3 linked regions of the Kluyveromyces lactis genome follow. The protein of the gene in region 3 interacts with the protein of the main gene of each other region in a biochemical or structural test. Links are inferred from orthologs where the notes say so. Each region holds a gene or a part of one and is shown on either strand. Other genes may lie near its edges. The genes, in order: VPS4, RFU1 and BRO1.

Region 1 (3,401 bases), on a different chromosome or scaffold from region 3:
GCTCCAATAGTCATTATGTTATCTTTGCCACATCAAAGTCTACTCAAAAGTATAAGAATATTATTGCTAACCCATCTGTATCTCTTTTGATCCATGACTGGGTCACAGCAAAAAAACTATCTCTGAGGAAAACAAGTGTATCCAATACTCCAGTGCCAGATTCTAATGATTCTGAAGAACAACCAAGTAGGTTGCTCAACCTTTTGCAAGAGTTGAATCAATCTGAACTATCACAAATGTCAGCCACGCTATCAGGTACAGCGACAGTTATTGATCCATCATCTGAAGAATCCGACTACTATGAAAAGCAACTACTAAGAGTGAATCCAGATGCTAATTGTTATATCAAAGGTGATGACAACGTGATCATCAAGGTTAAGATATTGGATGCAAAGATATCTGATAGCGAAAACAGAACAAGCTACTATACCTGAAGGATTATTAATCAGGGTTATTTCGTGTTCTAATGCTAAAATCAGCTAGGATTATGACTCAGTTACGTTCTATGTATATGATTATTTATCTATATTGCCCATGAAAGCATTTTGAAACATCATTACTATTATCTTTTAATTGCTGCTGGAATTCGAACTAATTTCCCTCTTGACCAAAGTCTTTGGTGAACTCTTCCTGTTTGTGTATATCTTCTTCATTAACTGTTGGTCTTGACGTTTGTATAGCCTTTAGGAAATCTTTTACAGTTAAATCAGGCTCCTGAAGTTCATCAGCATCAATATCTGTCCATGACATTTCAATGGCTTCTGGATCGCCTGGCGAACATGGTGTTAGCTTCCGTACGTCTGGATCATCCGACGAATTCTTGAAATGTGTTGCCATTTGAATCTTTCTGACAGGTTCCATTAATGCGTCCTTGACAACCACGGCAATATCGGATCCTGAATAACCATCTGTCATCTCCCCTAGAGATCTGTAATCTTCTTTTGTTAATTTACATGGTGTATCACCAACGTTCAACTCAAACATTTTTGTTCTGCTCGCAAGGTCAGGTAGGGGAATATATATTCTTCTCTCAAATCTTCTTCTAATAGCACTATCCAACTGCCATGGGATATTAGTTGCTCCTAGAACTAAGACTCCACTGGAATCATTACCTACACCATTCATTTGAACCAAAAGTTCTGTTTTTATTCTTCTGCTTGCTTCACTCTCTCCCTCTCCTCTTTGCCCGGTCAATGCATCGACTTCATCGATAAAAATGATGGACGGCTTGTTCTCTCTTGCCATGGCAAATAGTTGTTTGACCAATCTTTCTGACTCACCCATCCATTTCGAAACCAAGTCACTGGAACTTATGCTGAAAAAGGTAGAGTTGGCTTCTGTGGCAACAGCTTTCGCTAAATAGGATTTACCAGTACCTGGTGGACCATATAACAAGATTCCAGTCGTAGGCTTACGTTTACCCTTAAAAAGATGTGGGAATTTCACTGGAAGAATCACAGCTTCCTTCAATGCTTCTTTAGCACCTTCTAAACCAGCGATATCCTCCCATTTAACGTTAGGCTTTTCTGTCAAGATCGCCCCTGATAAGGCTCCTCTTAGCTTTTTATCGTCTGCATCGTCCTCTGTATTGGAATTGCCACCTGAACCAGAAGCAGTGGCTGCCTTTTTTGGCTTTTCTTGTTTCTTCTGTTGTTCTGTTTCCAAATGCTCCTTTAATTGTTCTGCACGATTCAGATACTCAGTGAATTTTGCTCGAATTAAGTCCTTAGATTTGGGGTTCTTCTCATACTTTAATGCTAGCATCAAATAGTCTAATCCATTGTAATATGCGGTGTAAGCCTCGTCATATTGCGTAGCTGTGTCTAAATCAATGGCTTTTTGTATTAAATCAATTCCCTTTGTTAAAAAATCACCGGTGCTCATATCAATGTAAGTGCTGTGAGTAGTGAACACTAAATTGTAATCTTGAAGCCGTTCTACAATTTGAATGGCTATGGTATTTCGAAATCACTATGGAGCAGGAACAGAGGGGTAAACTGAGTCACGTATCAGTCGACACACATTTAAGGCAGTACGTATCTCTATTATAATAGGCTTTTTGCAATTACTTGGGAACATCAACATAAGAAAATGTATTTGACTATGCTTTATCAAATCACGTGATTAATTACAATGTCTAATGAAATGTTCATCTACAGCACTCTTCGGATACTAGCAGTCGTGATCCTAGATTGCTTATGAGAGAGATGCCCCAGTCATATAATAGAAGAGTCTCACACTAAATATCTTTTTGCCATTAACGTTAAATAAAATAGTATATTTGTATCGAGGAAGTACTAATTCTATTTAATTATTCTGTACATATTTATAAGATTTTATAACAGAGACATTAGTAGAGTGATCTTATTTTTTATCAACGTGTTGTTCGTGGATCTTGGCGTATCTACCGGAAGGATCTTCAGCACAACCCCAGTCAGCCTTTGGAATCCATCTCATGACAGTGGAAGCAGCGGTCTTTTGTGGGAACAAAGCATCGAACTTCAATCTGTACCAGTAGGCTTCCTTGGTAGTTGGAATATCGTCACCCCATTCAGCCTTTGGTTGAGCGAATTGTTCATCAGAGATAGTGCTTTCAGCTGCATCCTTTAGACCATCAATCCAAGAGTAACCGACACCGTCGGAGAATTGTTCCTTTTGTCTCCACAAGATTTCTTCTGGTAAGTATGGTTTCAAATCTGGTTCATCCGTGGTATCGAATGCCTTTCTTAGAATGTATTTTTCGATCTTACCTTCAGCTGGTTTGATCATCTTGTCGTTTGGATCAATGTTCATACATAGTTGTAGGAAGTCCCTGTCCAAGAATGGAACACGAGCTTCTAGACCCCAAGCCATGGTAGATTTGTTAGCACGCAAACAATCAGCCAAGTGCAAGTTCTTAACTCTCTTGACAGATTCGACGTGGAATTCAGCAGCTGATGGAGCTTGTGCGAAGTATAGATAACCACCAAAGATTTCATCGGAACCTTCACCGGACAAAACCATCTTAACACCTTGAGCCTTGATCTTACGAGAAAGCAAGAACATTGGGGTGGAAGCACGGATAGTAGTGACATCGTAAGTTTCTAAGTGGTAGATAACATCGTCCAAAGCGTCTAGACCTTCCTGTAAAGTGAAAGTATGTTCGTGATGGATAGAACCGATGAATGTAGCCACCTTACGAGCAGCTTGTAAATCTGGAGCGTTTGGCAAACCAACAGCGAATGAGTGCAATCTAGACCAGCCAGCAGCATGTAGATGACCTTGTTCGTCAAGCCCAGCCAATTGATGTGGGTCACTGTCATAAACAACTGGATCAAGTTCGGCATTAGTTTTTTCTGTTTCTCTTGCGGCAATAGCAGCAATCAAAGAGGAATCCAAACCACCGGACAATAGAACACCGT
Region 2 (2,580 bases), on a different chromosome or scaffold from region 3:
AATCATCTAAGCTTGCTGTCCAACAACCTTCAACTCCTAGCAATTTAGAGAACAAGGTACACGCAGCATTAACAAAAGAGAATATAATACTTTCTCTTTTGTTTATAATTACATTGATTATGATGTTCAACACACTATGTCAAGTGAGGATACTAAGAAAGCTCAACAAGTTGATGAACACGAATAGTGCTTCCGTGATTGAGGAGATTAAAGATATACTCAATGTTTACAACGAACTTCCAATGTCCAACGAGGAATGACAGTTTAGTAAAGATATGACCCTAACATGAAATGAGAGGTTCTAGTCTTCATCATCCGAAACACTGTATCTGGTATCTAGTTCAAAGGTAATAACATTTTTCTCATAGTATTTGTAACATTTATGAATATCTGTAATGACTGATGATGAAACTGAAATGCGTAAATGTTAAACGCGGAAAACAAGGTAAAATTAGTGTATAGGTGACTATATGCAAGGAGATGCTAAATTAGTAAAGATAAATCTATAATGCTGGCATGGTATATGTGACCGACGTGGATGTCGCATTGAGTTCTGGTAATTCGGGATATTCATTGTTAGAGTCTGACTGTGCTGAAAAATGCTTTGAACTGTGATTAAACCAACTTATAGATTGGTTGAATTTTTGTTCATCAAAGGAACTCGGAAGATTAATTTCATCCGAAGGATTTGTCGTCATGACAGCCGGCGATCTCACGTAGGTCGATGTCGCAACATTGTTTGCCAATGACTTGTATCTTGCATCTATTTTGATTTTCAATTCCTCAGTAATCTTCATGATAGCAGGGACTTCCAACTTCAGCAGTTGGAAGTATTCTCTTTTGTATAACGATTCCACTGATGTGTTAACTTCTGAATGATGCACAAGTCTATTCAGACAAAGATCTAAGTATCTAATATAAAGAAGATATGCGCGCTCCATATTATTGCACCTGGCACTATTTTGAGCTTCCTCGACAATGCTAATGCAAGTTGTCAGATACAATTTCAGAGGCACATTTGAATTGAATCTATAATTAAGAGCTTCTTGCTTTAAGTGTGAACTGGATTTCATTGTATCAGATGGAGTAGCAGTGTTTAATTAATTCGGGTACCGTATATTCTTTCGAGTAAAAGGAAAAAGCTGGGATTTAAAAAGATTATTCAGTTTAACGGGTTCTTCTCCTATTTTCCAAATCGCATCTATAACTCAAGCTGACACAACGCTTGCCCAACAGCAGCTGATCCACCACTGGTGCCAATAAACTAAAAGTTCCATTATTTCTTCATGCACTCAACCTGTCATCTCATCTCATCTCGTTGTGGTTTTGACGTTTACTGTTCTTGCATGCAAAGAAAAATGTTTGCTGTGATGTACGGGTTAATTTCACTTGAGCATGTGATCTGTTTTTGGAATCCTCTAAGTGCCTAAGCAATAAGGGGAAAATCGGATAGAACAACAGACTATCTATCCATCCCCAAGAGGATAGCCATAGCATTTCCATATATATCTGTCGAATAACCACCGCTAAACGAGACTTAATATATTTCCTATTCGCAGATGAGGGTCAAGGTATCTATTTCTGGGAAGAGCGACAAAGTTTTAACTGTCGAAGCCGAATGTGATTTGGAAACATTTCAGGGACTCATTCTGTCCTCATATGAAGATGATCTATCATTGCAGAGTATGCGGTACGGATTCCCACCTCAGAGTATACTTTTTCAGGGGAATGAGGCTAAGACACTTGAAGAGCTAGGAATATGCAATGGGGAACGGATCATAGTGAGCCTGAGTAAAGCCGATGAAGCTATTGCCACCAGAACACAACCAAGTATTAATGCCAGTAAAGCAAATACACTACCCAATAAAGAAGTGAAAAAGAAGCCCACTGGTAAATCTGAAAGTGTACAGATAGATTCAACTAGAGCACTACAACTCCATGAAGTGCCCGATGACAATTCGTGTCTATTCCATGCTATATCCTATGCTGTCTACAAGAACATTTCACTGTCATCAGAACTACGGGGAGTTGTGGCGTCAGAAGTCCGGAGAGACCCATTTGAATATTCAGATGCTATTCTTGGCAGGCCGAATCATGAATACAGTGAGTGGATAATGAAACATTCTTCATGGGGAGGTGGTATCGAGATTGCAATATTATCGAAACATTTTCAGTATGCGATATACGTGCTCGATGTGGATGCACGTAAATTCGAGAAATTCAACGAGGATTTATACGATAAATTTATTATTATAGCATATAACGGAGTTCATTATGATACGGTAGAGATATTTGATGGAACTCAGCATCAAACTGTATTTGACATCGGAGAGAAAGATACTGAATTCCTTTTACAAAAAACACAGGAGATCGCGAAGAAGATGAAAAGAGAGGGGAAGTCTTTCAATACTGCAAGAGATTCAATTTTATGCAATACTTGTGGCACCACCTTGATTGGAGAACGAGAGGTGAGCAAGCACGCTGAGAAAACTGGTCATGTTGATTTTAGGCAAAAATAAAACAAATATAACCATTGAATAATATTGAAGAAAGAAATAGCACTTAATATATGAGCGTCTG
Region 3 (4,183 bases):
CTCAAGTGTATTGCATATAGCGTTAAATGAACCTAGTGTACTTCGACGTCTATGAATTTACTGAAAATAAATAAATATAGTCATTAATGATCATCTTTTACATTGGTATTTACAAGGTAGTATCGTAAAGCGAGGCCTTTTAATTACTAAGATATACTTTTATCAGTCTTTTTTAACAGGTGGTTGAACTCTGAACAAGTCTCCGTTAACTTTCATTCTTTCGATTACAATTTGGTTCGAAGTTTCGCTATCTTTTGGCAATTTCGCGTCTGGTGCACTCTCAAAAACAGAACCAGTTAATAGAATATCATTTGTGCTTGCATCGCAAAGGAAAGCGATATAGTCAATAACATCTCTGTCCAGTTTATCAGTTTTACTTTTCTTCTTGTCGAACTTAATTAACCTTTGTTTGGTATCAAACTTATAAATCAATTGAATTAATTCAACTGGACGACCGGGAATCATCATGGCTTGTGTGGAAACTAACTTTGGAACTTCATTGAATTTAATCAATTCCCAGTCCAAGGTAATGTTCGATGGGATTTGTTTGGCTCTCGCTGTCAAAGCCTCGTCAACCCATATGGACACTTGAGGTTTGATGGTATCCAGTTCTCTTTTAGCAAAAGCTTCATTAACTTGAACATATGTTTCGATAGCTTTGTTCTTCCACAGTAAAAAATTTGGCTTGAGACCTGATTGATAACGGAATAAGGCTACTTGAATGGTGTTCATACCTAACGTATAGATCTTCCTGACCAAGACATTGAAATAAGCCACTGGGGACGTTATTGGATTAGGCATATTTTTCTTGGAAGGTGCGATATATACCTGGTTTGCAACCCCCATATGACGTGGATTGAATGGGGCAGGCTTTTTAACAACACCATCGGAATCTAGAAGCCTTCTAGAGGTGCTAAAGAAACGACCTCTCTTCCCTAAAAGTCCAACGGTTCTTATTCCTCTTAGTTGAAACATTTGTTTAATTCACAGGGGGGTGTTAATGGTAAAGAGAATGGGATGTCTCAGAGCACTCTGGATGATTCCAATGATCAACTACGAAGAATGGTTCAGATACTACTAAACGCTGTCATCTTTATGTCAACCTTCATTCCTTTAATCTGCTGCTGTTGTTAAAATCAGATGTGCATCGAAATTTTTCGAAAGCTTCGCCTAAAGATCGTTTTGCACGTTTTGATACTTTTGATGCTAACCTTCATTAATCGACCTAGCCATCTACAAACAAACTACTTAACCAAGAACGATAAAGCACTTGGGCAATCAAAGATAGAACCACTACACCAGAGTTAACATTTGTGCGTTGCAAGACAGTTTGCAAGTACCTACTCTTTATTTCTTTTAAATCGATCATTTCATAATGAAAACAGTTCTACTTCCACTTAAAATTAAGGATACAGAGAGTATTAGTTGGACAAAAGGGTTAATAACCTATTTGAAAAGGTCATACGGATCTAGCCAGTGGTCCGTGTTTTATGATGGCGACAAGACGGCAGAGATTGATTCGTGTAGGACCACTGCTAATTCAGATCTTGCGCCAGAATCATTATTAGATCAGAACTATAAGTACGCCGCTATATTGGAGCAAATCTATCTAAGGTTAGGCGCACACAGCGGTTCATTACAGATGGATTTCACGTGGTATGAAGCAGAATATCACTCTAGGTTGTCAGAAAAAAAATTCAAGCAACATACTGTAGTCTTTGAGAAATCATCTGTCATGTACAACATCGGTGTTCTATTGTCTCAAATCGCTAAGAAAAAAATGTCTGATAATTATAAGAGCGCGATTCCTTATTTGAGCAAGGCAATGGCTTGCTTCGATTATATGTCGAACAACTTTTTGAATTCACCTTCTATCGATTGTGCAGCAGAAAATACATCTTTTCTCTCCACATTGTTGCACGCCGAAGCTCAGGAAATGTTTCTCATGACGTTGATTAATGGACCAGATGCTTCGAAAAGAGCATCTTTGATCAGCAAACTAGCACATACTGCCTTAAATTTGTATGAGAAATGTCAAGAATTTTATGAGGATAGTTCAACAGCAACTTTTGGGACTACGCCTTATGGAGAAGACAAATGGAAGGATATAATTACCCTAAAGGTTCACTTGTATAGGGCTATTTCGACATACAATCACTTGAGAGTGCTAGAGGAAGCTAAGAAAATTGGAGAGGCGATAGCTTATGGTAAGCTTGCGGTACATGAAATAAAAGAGGCTGGTTTCTATAAGGTATATGTGAAGGATGAGATTGATCTAACAGGGTTAAAAGCAGTAATAGAAGAGAAGTTGAAAAGTTTAATTAAGGACAACGATTTCATTTATAACGATTTGATACCAGCTGATGTGAGCATAGAAAGCATCAAAACCATGGACGCCGTAAAGCCAGTGACCTGGGAAGAACAGCTCAAGGTATACCTAGAGCAGGTTGTAGATCTCTGTAATGGTGCCTTTAAAGGTATAGTGCCTATGGAAGTCTATGAAAATGAGAGTATCTATTCTGAGGAAAAAGCTTCATTGTTAAGAAAGGAGGTCGAGGAGACGGATACAGCAGACTGGGAATATCAATCATTCATTGAATTTACTGACTTACCGAAACTTATCAAAGACCTTGAATCAAGATATGTACACGGTGGAAATGGTTCATCAGATGACCCTCAATATGAAATAATGAAGCAAAAAATAACTACTTGGTCAAAAGTTGTGCAAGACAGTAATTTCAAAGATGTAAGAGCGCAAATGCAAAATATTCTTGACAAAAGAAATGAGATTCTTACAATTTTATCCTCTGTCTCTCCTGATCAAAGGGAAAATGCCTTGAAAATCAAGAACTCTTTAGTGCAGGCATCTCAATCTGATGACAAAATATTTGCATCTATCAATCCATGCTTGGAGGAAGTTAATTTGTTAGCAAACCATCAGTTATTGTGGAGCATAATGAGTAAATTTCAGATAAGGAATGATGAACCAAGCTTACTTGATCTCGATGACTCAAAAAACCAACAGATCTTAGATCGCCTTCATAATATCAAACACAATCAGGAGATTCTACGACTACTAAAAGAAGAACGTACAAGAAATTTAAAAGATTTCAAAGAAAGCTTGAACAATGATGATATAACTCAAAAGTTGATATTGCTGACAGGTAAGCCGAAAAAGGAAATGAGGGTTATCTTCGAGGAAGAGCTTACTAAATTCAAACCGTTGAGTACTAGGATTGAAGCAACAATATTCAAACAAAACAATTTGATTAACGACATAAAAATCAAGTTGGACGAAGTTTTCAAACTTATTGGAGTACAAGATAAGACCCCTGAACAAGAAAATACAGTGAAAGAAAGACAGACCTTTTTCGATAAGGTTGAAAAGGCTTTTAACCAATTCGTTATATTTAGTACCGATTTGCCGAAGGGTTTAAACTTTTACGACACTTTGCTCAAGATGACTAGAGAATTAAGCCACGCATCCACCCCTGGACAATCTGTAAACTTGATAGATTCCAACACATTGCCACCTAACTTACCACAAAAATCTACACAATCTACAACACTTACAAAGAGTTTCGCAAATTTAAACTTATGCAATGATGTTAATGACTCGGTAACTCAAAGTCCTGCAAATCTCGCTAACACTAATAACACCGGAGTGAATCCAGGTCCGCCTCAATTACCACCGAAACCTCTTTCTACCGGTATCAGTGGGCTTGTCAGCGATCAAAAGCTGCAGAATGGACCGACATCCTTTTATAACAATCCATCTGTCTTTGATGAAAATCTCTATTCCAAATTCAGTAAATAGTGTTTGTGGTTATATATATCTTGAATTTAATGCTAATGCTAATTTCTCTTCTTCTGGTTTGGTTTTTTCCACTGTACTATTTTAGGTGATGGAACATACCATATATTTTCAGATCCAAAATCCGTTTCTGTGATTTTGACTATACTCACCAAGCCGCCATCCATCACCGCTAAAAGGAAACTCCGATAACCTTCCTTAATTCTCTTCATTTTCCGAGCATATAAGCTCAAGGTTTTATCTCCTTTATTATTCTTACGTCTGCTTTTTAAATGCCTCTGAGCATCAACATTACCGGTCTTGTTTGATTTTGTCACTTTTTCTTCGGCTATATCAACATCATTAATAAAAGGGAATTTATGATCTAAT

What was found.
Region 1: the proteins of BRO1 (region 3) and VPS4 form a complex in vitro, tested with the Saccharomyces cerevisiae proteins (3 studies listed by BioGRID). The link is inferred for Kluyveromyces lactis from reciprocal best matches to the Saccharomyces cerevisiae genes BRO1 and VPS4.
Region 2: the proteins of BRO1 (region 3) and RFU1 form a complex in vitro, tested with the Saccharomyces cerevisiae proteins (2 studies listed by BioGRID). The link is inferred for Kluyveromyces lactis from reciprocal best matches to the Saccharomyces cerevisiae genes BRO1 and RFU1.

The regions. Positions count from the first base shown.
Region 1 is NC_006038.1:948,747-952,147, forward strand, and holds VPS4 (AAA family ATPase VPS4), read right to left. Parts: upstream 1,885-3,401; coding exon 592-1,884; downstream 1-591. Other genes in the region: KLLA0_B10824g (pyridoxal 5'-phosphate synthase), read left to right, coding at 1-434; ASN1 (asparagine synthase (glutamine-hydrolyzing) 1), read right to left, coding at 2,365-3,401. UniProt on the Saccharomyces cerevisiae protein: Involved in the transport of biosynthetic membrane proteins from the prevacuolar/endosomal compartment to the vacuole. Required for multivesicular body (MVB) protein sorting.
Region 2 is NC_006040.1:484,194-486,773, forward strand, and holds RFU1 (Rfu1p), read right to left. Parts: upstream 1,074-2,580; coding exon 504-1,073; downstream 1-503. Other genes in the region: LAM6 (Lam6p), read left to right, coding at 1-260; ubiquitin-specific protease OTU1, read left to right, coding at 1,560-2,519. UniProt on the Saccharomyces cerevisiae protein: Inhibitor of the DOA4 deubiquitinase involved in the regulation of protein degradation by the proteasome and maintenance of a normal level of free ubiquitin.
Region 3 is NC_006041.1:2,120,391-2,124,573, reverse strand, and holds BRO1 (Bro1p), read left to right. Parts: upstream 1-1,375; coding exon 1,376-3,817; downstream 3,818-4,183. Other genes in the region: MBA1 (Mba1p), read right to left, coding at 163-975; tRNA splicing endonuclease subunit SEN54, read right to left, coding at 3,856-4,183. UniProt on the Saccharomyces cerevisiae protein: Class E VPS protein involved in concentration and sorting of cargo proteins of the multivesicular body (MVB) for incorporation into intralumenal vesicles. Fusion between endosomes and the vacuole will then target the cargo proteins to the vacuolar lumen.